2 linked regions of the Oreochromis niloticus genome follow. The protein of the gene in region 2 purifies or fractionates together with the protein of the main gene of each other region. This does not show direct contact. Links are inferred from orthologs where the notes say so. Each region holds a gene or a part of one and is shown on either strand. Other genes may lie near its edges.

What was found. Proteins that work in one complex are often made in the same cells at the same time.
Region 1: the proteins of map3k8 (region 2) and tnip2 purify together in Homo sapiens (affinity purification with mass spectrometry; 3 studies listed by BioGRID and IntAct, with this or other methods). This does not show direct contact. The link is inferred for Oreochromis niloticus from reciprocal best matches to the Homo sapiens genes MAP3K8 and TNIP2.

Annotation. Positions count from the first base shown.
Region 1 is NC_031971.2:13,975,614-13,979,367, reverse strand, and holds the start of tnip2 (TNFAIP3-interacting protein 2), read left to right. Parts: upstream 1-1,470; 5' UTR 1,471-1,830; coding exon 1,831-2,151; intron 2,152-2,407; coding exon 2,408-2,710; intron 2,711-2,841; coding exon 2,842-2,931; intron 2,932-3,113; coding exon 3,114-3,377; intron 3,378-3,492; coding exon 3,493-3,609; intron 3,610-3,735; coding exon 3,736-3,754. UniProt on the Homo sapiens protein: Inhibits NF-kappa-B activation by blocking the interaction of RIPK1 with its downstream effector NEMO/IKBKG.
Region 2 is NC_031974.2:29,560,978-29,564,731, forward strand, and holds the start of map3k8 (mitogen-activated protein kinase kinase kinase 8), read left to right. Parts: upstream 1-915; 5' UTR 916-1,217; intron 1,218-1,817; coding exon 1,818-2,180; intron 2,181-2,312; coding exon 2,313-2,483; intron 2,484-3,754. Other genes in the region: mtpap (poly(A) RNA polymerase, mitochondrial), read right to left, coding at 536-716.

The sequences.
Region 1 (3,754 bases), on a different chromosome or scaffold from region 2:
TGTGGAATCAGTTAGTTTCCACCCTGACACTTCTTCCCACCTTCCTACAATTTTTACACACTTTACACCTCAATTCTTGCTATTGTAACAAGTGTCACATGACTGCCATGTGACATCAAACGACATCACGGCTTCACACCGCTCATGTCTCTTGGTGTGATTGACCCAGAAATACCTGGGACTCCCCACCGGCCAGTACAACTGATGAACACTCTTGGTCTTTAACTCGGTACTCCTACTGTCTAGACAGTAGTTTCATTTTGACCTGATAATGCTTAGTACACTCTTCTTGTAGTCCAACGATGAACCTAAATGGAGCACGGTTTTGATAATGTAGTAAGTGTGACCTATATATGCTAGTTACTGTGCATTTTGTTCAAAGTGTCTGAGAAAAAGGTTACACACGTAAACTTGGAACAGTTTCAGCTAAACGATTACACACACTGTAATCTATTGGTTGTATTTATTTATTTATTACCTCCACATAAATATCTAGGTTCTTGGGACCCGTATTAAGACTATACATCCAAAGCACACATTCATTGCTAAAAGCACATCAGTCCATCATTCTACAGTATGTATTACATCTGTATTTTATACAAAATTGCATAAATATAAAGCCAGCTACAAACTGCAACAACAAGTATAATGAATTAAATTGGAATCAGTGGTGTTCTTTGTCATCCAACTGTAATTACGTTTTTGTAGTGAACACTTTTTTTATGTAGCACTTAAAAAAGAGAAATACATAAGAAAAGTAAAGATCCGTTTATTCATGAGTATTCCCATTTTGCAGTACCAAGAGGTCACCATGAACTGGAGCTGCTTCCAGTACAGCTTGGGTAAATTCTTGATTTGCTACCGTAAGAGACATTGTGTCACTTCCCAAAATATCAGAACAAAAACCAAACAAACACACACAAAAAACGGGATGACAATGTTCAGTCATAGACCGCTGCATCCTAAAATCAACCATTAATACGGCACCGGTGTGGTCCTTACTGCGTAATTCTTTGAATGACAATGCATTGCGGTGCATTTAAAGCTGTGGGAAAAAATTAAAGCCTGACAAAAATGAGTGGCGCGCATGGGGAATTTGTTATGACACTCTACGAGTAAATGCCCTAATGTGACTTTTAGGGGACTGAATGTGTAAAAACCCGGTAAACTACCGCTGGGAAATTAGCGTTTTTCATTTAGTATAATCTGATATTCCTTTCAATATTATAGTTTATACTTTCTGTAGAAAAACCTACAGCAAGCAGCATTTGGTTTGTAGAAAATAAAGTTGACTAAAGCGTAAGCCATTCCATTTTTTTCCCTTCTAAACCAAAGCTATGCATCCTTATAATAATAGTGGCACTAATAACACCGGTAAACATTTTTTTTTTTTTTACATAACTTAATTTTTGTTCGCTCTAACTAGGAGTAGTAGATTTTCCGACGTAATTGAATGCAGCAATCGTCTCTCTTTTTTCAGCCTTTAAGAGACGTAGCTTAAACTTTTAGCTACATTTAAAATATGTGTTTCTTTGTTTACCAAGTTGTGCCAAGACGCTATAAAATGTTTTTTTTTCTACCTGTGGATATCTACAGTGAACCTTTTTGAACACAAGCATGGCTCCTTTTTGACGAAGCTCAAAAAACTCCGCGGGGAAGTTCCCTAGGAAATCCCCGAAGACGGTTCGGGGGATATTATTCTCTGATGAGCCCAATTTCAGACAGTTGACGACGTTGGTCTTTTTCTGAAGACACGGGGCTCGAGGCAGAGGCGTCAAATGCTGGATTTTTAAGAGACTGGTGCGTCTGTCAAAGTCTACAAAACCCGCAATGGATAACGTCAGTATAAACAACACGGATAACGACGTGCTCAGAGACAAAATGCGGAGTTACAGCGTGCTTAATACTCTGTATCATGAGACGCGGCAGGAAATAGACCTTCTGAACAGACAGATCAGTGTAAAGGACGGTGTTATTGCAGATTTAAAAGCCAGGCTGGGGAGACACGAGAGGCTCTACATGACGGTGGGAGATAAGGAGTCTGTGCTCATTAGTCCGTCCAACTCTTTGGTGGAGAGTTTACTCAATGAAATATGCAAACTAAAACAGAAGAAGAACGAAGGGGACTTGAAGGCAGCCCGACAAGCTGAGGTAAAAACATGCTGAAGATTGTACACAGTCGATGTTTCTCCCTACAGCTCTAATCAGTGATTTATAACCATATATAGATTTTTTTTTATATCAGTTTGTTACTCTGAACTGTAAGCTGCTGTCTACTGTGACGCGTTCATTTTACAGTCTCTACTGGAGAAGTGTTCAGGGAACAAAACATGGACCATATCTGACATATCAGTTGCAAGCTGTTGTTGCCATGCCATGCCATTAATCTGTCATCATTGTTCCTCAGGAGATTCAGAGGCTGAACACTCAGCTCAGGGAGAAAGAGCTGGAGCTGGAGACCATCAGATGTCAGCCGGACCACGAGAAGGACCAGGAGATCCAAAGGCTACGGGTAGCCTTGCAGGAGAGGGAGCGGGCCGAGGCCACCAGAAGTGTCCTCTGTACCTCCCTGGCCGAGGAGGCCGACCAGCTGCGCGGGCAGCTCGGTGCAACTGTTAAGGTGTGCCAGGAGCTGATGGCGAGACTGGAGAAAGACAAAAGGGGAGGAGGAGAAGTGGAAGATGTGGCCCTTACGCAAAAGAATACAGAGGTGTGTAAATGCTTTTAGAAGTCACCAGTTGCTTTTGTAATTTCTTTTTAAATAGCTTTATAATACAGCTATTATTTTTTCAACACTTCAGGAGGGTCCTGTTGTAACCTCTGTTTTCTAATCTTTTACAGATGCCAGAGTCCTCTGAGATGGGTAGTCTTAATGCCCAAATCCGTCAGCTTCAGGAGGAGAATCAACAGCTAAAGCAGCGTGTGGCATACGTGAGTCTCATTAGTGTTATCTGAAATCAGTCAGGAAAAAAAATAGACATGTGATCTAATTATGTCCTTAAGGAAACAGATTTCAATTACTTTTGCACACAATATTAACACTCCAGTGGTGGAATATAAAACATGGTGCATGATCAAAGGTGTGACGTTTTGTTTTTTTAATTTCCTTTTAGGTACAAAGCCTGAATACTCAGTGGCAGAAGTATGACTCCAGCAGGGAGGACTATATAAGAGGTTTATGTCAGAGGCTGAAGGACAGCACCGGGCAGGGCTTGATGCCTGCGATGGGCTCCACCAACACTGGATTGCTTCATCAGGAGATTTCCAGGCTCAATGGCTTACTGGAGGAGAAAATGAGGGAGTGTGCAAGGCTTGCTAGAGAAATAGATGACATCAGAAGACAAGACAAGGAGCAAATTCAGACACTTGAGCAACAGGTTGGTGCGATTTCATGCCTGGTGATTGGCTGAGTTCTGTTAAGCACGGTTATAGTGTCAAATAACTAAATGTGAAAGATAAATTTTTAAAAAAAAATCTTTTTTGCTTCCTAAGGTTCTTATCTACACCGATGACTTTAAGTCAGAGCGTGCAGACAGGGAGCGAGCGCAGGGCCAGATTGATGCCCTGAAGGAGCAGGTTTCTCAGCTAAAACAGCAGCTGCACAAACAGGTGAGACAACAGCCCTGCACTTAGGTGCACGAGTGCCTCGACAGAAGCACGGACTTCCTTTTACTTGTTACCACCGTCCAGTACGTGTAGCTTGTGCTGACAGTGTACGTGCCTCCCTGTCTTCAGCAGGGAGCTAGCAGAGAGA
Region 2 (3,754 bases):
GGGAAATAACATGACATTTACCGGTGACAGCAGGCAATAATTCTGTGGTGTGTCACGTCAGTTTTTCACTGATAAACGTTCAAAGACTGAGATGCACCAAATTGATAATAAAATGCAAAAAATGTGATGTATCGTCGGTTAAGTTCTAGTTTTCATTGTTCAATTGTCCCAGAACATGTCAACAAACCTCATTTAAAAAACGGTCAGTTTTACAGTGGGACTTTCTATGTAAATATAAATGTCCCACAAATGACAGGTACAAGCTCAAAACGTTCTATATAATAAAACTTTAGCCGAAAAGGGGTTATCGCGTTGTTATCGTTAACAAACACAGTGCCGAATGTTACGTATGACCCAGTGATTTCTTACGGGTCACATATTGTGTAAAACGCACAACGCACTTAGGGTTTCGGCCTTCACCAACAAAAACATATCGTTTCTCAGGGGAGTTTGGAATGGTGCTCACTCGCCATCACACGGCGGTGTATTAGGGCTAGCCTAAAGGCCATCTTCTCTTCTAGGCTTAATTACTAACCACTTTCGTCACTTCGAGTGGCCTCAGCTTGGGCAACAACGACGTCTGTTCCTATACTCCTGTGAAGAAACGCGTCGGTTTTCTGTAGGCACTTCGCGAGGCTGGCCCTTCCTCTCATATGTAACCTGCACACAGCAAAGGAGGACGCCATTGTTTTTCGGAATGAAGCGCAAATGAGCATGCGCCTGGTCCTGGCTACGGCAACCTAGAGATACCAGAAAAGACACTTTCTAGTGTTTAAAAACTATCATCCGATTGCTTTGGGTTGAGTCTGTAACGTCTTTTAAAGGTATCAAATTTGAAATTGAATTGAAATTTGTTTTTTATTTTATTTACTACGAATAAGCTTCAGTGTTGGTGATATATTATGCATCCTACATTAAACGAGACACGTCTCCCGATAGGAAAGCACCCAACAGTCCTGAAAGCTTTTCGTTTTTTTGGTTGTTTTTTTCATTTGAGGAAACAAGAAAAGGGAAAACGAAACCTACAAAGACAGCGAGAGAGGGCTGCTGGCAGCTGACACTAAAGAGGTACTCCACCTCCACAGACACGCCACACTTCCTGTGTTTACTTCGTTCTAAACACAATCCACGGAGCTTCGTACATCAGACAGTCTGCGGGGCGCCACAATGGAGACACAACAGTGCGCTTAAGCTTCCGACTCAATTTCATAAGGCAGGTAACGCGTGTTTTCTGTCACTCAAAGAAGCAACTCCTGTTATTCAGCGAAACTCTATTTTTTCTTTAAGCAGCTGAATATTTGGCAGATAGCTAGTTATAGCTCTACAGCTACTGTTTTTGTTTGTTTGTTTTATTTTTTCTAGGCAGCTATTCTAAAGTTGCATGTTTGGATCGTAATACGGTTTATTTTTTATGTATTTATTTCAAATTTTGCGTGGAGTTTGCATTAACGCACATGTGTATGATGGGCATCGAGTAATGTGAGCTGAACTCTTTATCGCAGCATCATAATGATAATAATAGTTATAATAATGGGCAGTTGTTGTTTTATAGATGTATAATAAGGTTTAAGCTTTCCTGGGGGGGCTTCCCAGCTTTACTGCGAAACTCCCTTCTTTTGCTTGGAAAACAGCCCTGTGAAGCCCCTCCCAGCTGTGTGTTCAGCCAGCTGTATCAAAGCTTCACTTCTTAAGTGTAGTTTCACTGCACGTCCTGCTCCCCACGTGAACCTTCCCAGTCATGAACGATCCGCTCGCTTATACAACTCAAGTCAGCACGGAAACAGTCCCCACACTGACCTCCTGATGTTTGATTTTAGATGGAGCTGGACAAACGGAGCATTAACATGGATTACAAATATGACACGGGAATAGAACTGCTCTTGGCTCACATGAATTTAGAGGACATTATTAACGCTGCAGAGACTCTATATCGGCTGGAGGAAGAGGAGGAAGAAGAAATCTTGTCGTTGGAAGACGAAGAAGGACTTTCCCAGGAGGAGATGGATGAGAATGAGGAGGCAGGGGAGGTGGTGGTTTTGGGGAGTGAGCAGAAGGACTACGCTAATGGAGTTCGATATGGGACTGTGACAGAGGTCCTGTCCTTTGTCAACCTCCTGTCCAGCATGCAGACGGCAGCCTTGCCAAACCTGCCAGAGGAAATGGGAGTCCTCCTAAATAAGGTGAGGATCTTGTTGTTTTTTCTTTTTTTAATCTCCAAAGTAACCTGAATGTTTAGTTTATATGGTCAGGCTAGAAAAACTTGCATAATTTTCTTTTTTTTTCCTTCCTAAAAACAAATCTTGTTTTTGTAGAAGGACATGGCTGTGAAAAAAGGCCGCTACCAGATTAACATGGACGTGCTCCTGTTTCCATGGAAATTGACCTACAAGAATCATGGGTCTGGCCTCGTGCCTAAGGGCTCATTTGGGAAAGTCCACTTGGCTCAGGACACCACCACCAGGAAGAGAATGGCCTGCAAACTGGTGAGTCTTCCTGATCGGTGACTAGAAATCCCGCCTGTGCTTGACTTCTCGACAGCTCTTGGCCTGCGTGCCAAATATTTAACCTGCCAAATACTGCTCGTTCACAGTCCAATTACTCCTCTGTTTGTACAAAGATTGTTGGTGCCAGCGTGACATTTGCTATGTTTACTGAGTGAAAGAGGAACAGCGCCGCTGAATGAAGAACTATTTGTTCTTGTAACAAACTTACAACATGAGCTGGGATTAATGCAAGACTGGAATTTCAACAGTAACTTCCCACAGCTCCTCTGGATGTTTGTGACAGGGTCAGATTCATTAAAGACACATGTGAAAACCACACATGCTGCTTCTATCTGAGCAGATCTATGCTTGAGAAAGAGGAGGGAGGGAGGCAGCGTGCTTACGCTGTTGTATGGAAAATATTGACAAATGAGGAACGAGTACTTTCCTATCTAGTCAGGTGTTATCGTCAGAATACTGTTGACACAGTGTTTTTTTTTTCACGCTGTTGTGAATGTACTGCAGAGGATTTACTGGAAATAGTTTGCAATAAGGGCTTGGAATTAGGATGTCCTTATCTGCTTAAAACAATGCCATCATCAGTTAATAATAACAGAGAAATTATTTCTTTAAAGAAACACGACTTTAAAGTTATCACTGACAAACTAATAACAATAGATGTCTTAAAGCACAAAAAAACAGGATAACAGTATGTTACTATGTCAACTAATCTGTTAAATACAGAAAGAGTCAGTGTCCTTGTGAAGTATGTATTAAATGTATACTTTATTTGCAGAGTTAACTGAGCTGAACTCCCTGATTAGGCTGTCAGGGTAAAAAAAACAATAATTATAATACAAATGAAGCCATTAACTGTAGTTCCTTTAATAGCCACTCGAGGCTGGCTCCAAAACTTCAGCATTTTAAATGCAAGTTGCACATTTTGCTCTCACACTGTGTGGTGGTTAGTACTGTGGATTCCACGCTCCAGACAAACCACAATACAGAATTGGAAGAAGTGGAAGAAAATATATGGATAGATCTAAGTATGCATTTTACCGAGCTAGCTAGTCCAAAGGTGAGGTAGAGAGTAGTGGGTAACAGGCTGAAGGGGACTGCAGAAACTTTAACTGTCAGGTTAAGTATTATTTCCCATAATAACTGAAAAATCCTCTGTGCACTGTCAAATAATGCCACCCTAACCAATAAAATTGCAAAATGTGAAAAGTTAGTCTGTTGTCACTGTAAGCAAACACTGATCCATTTGCCCA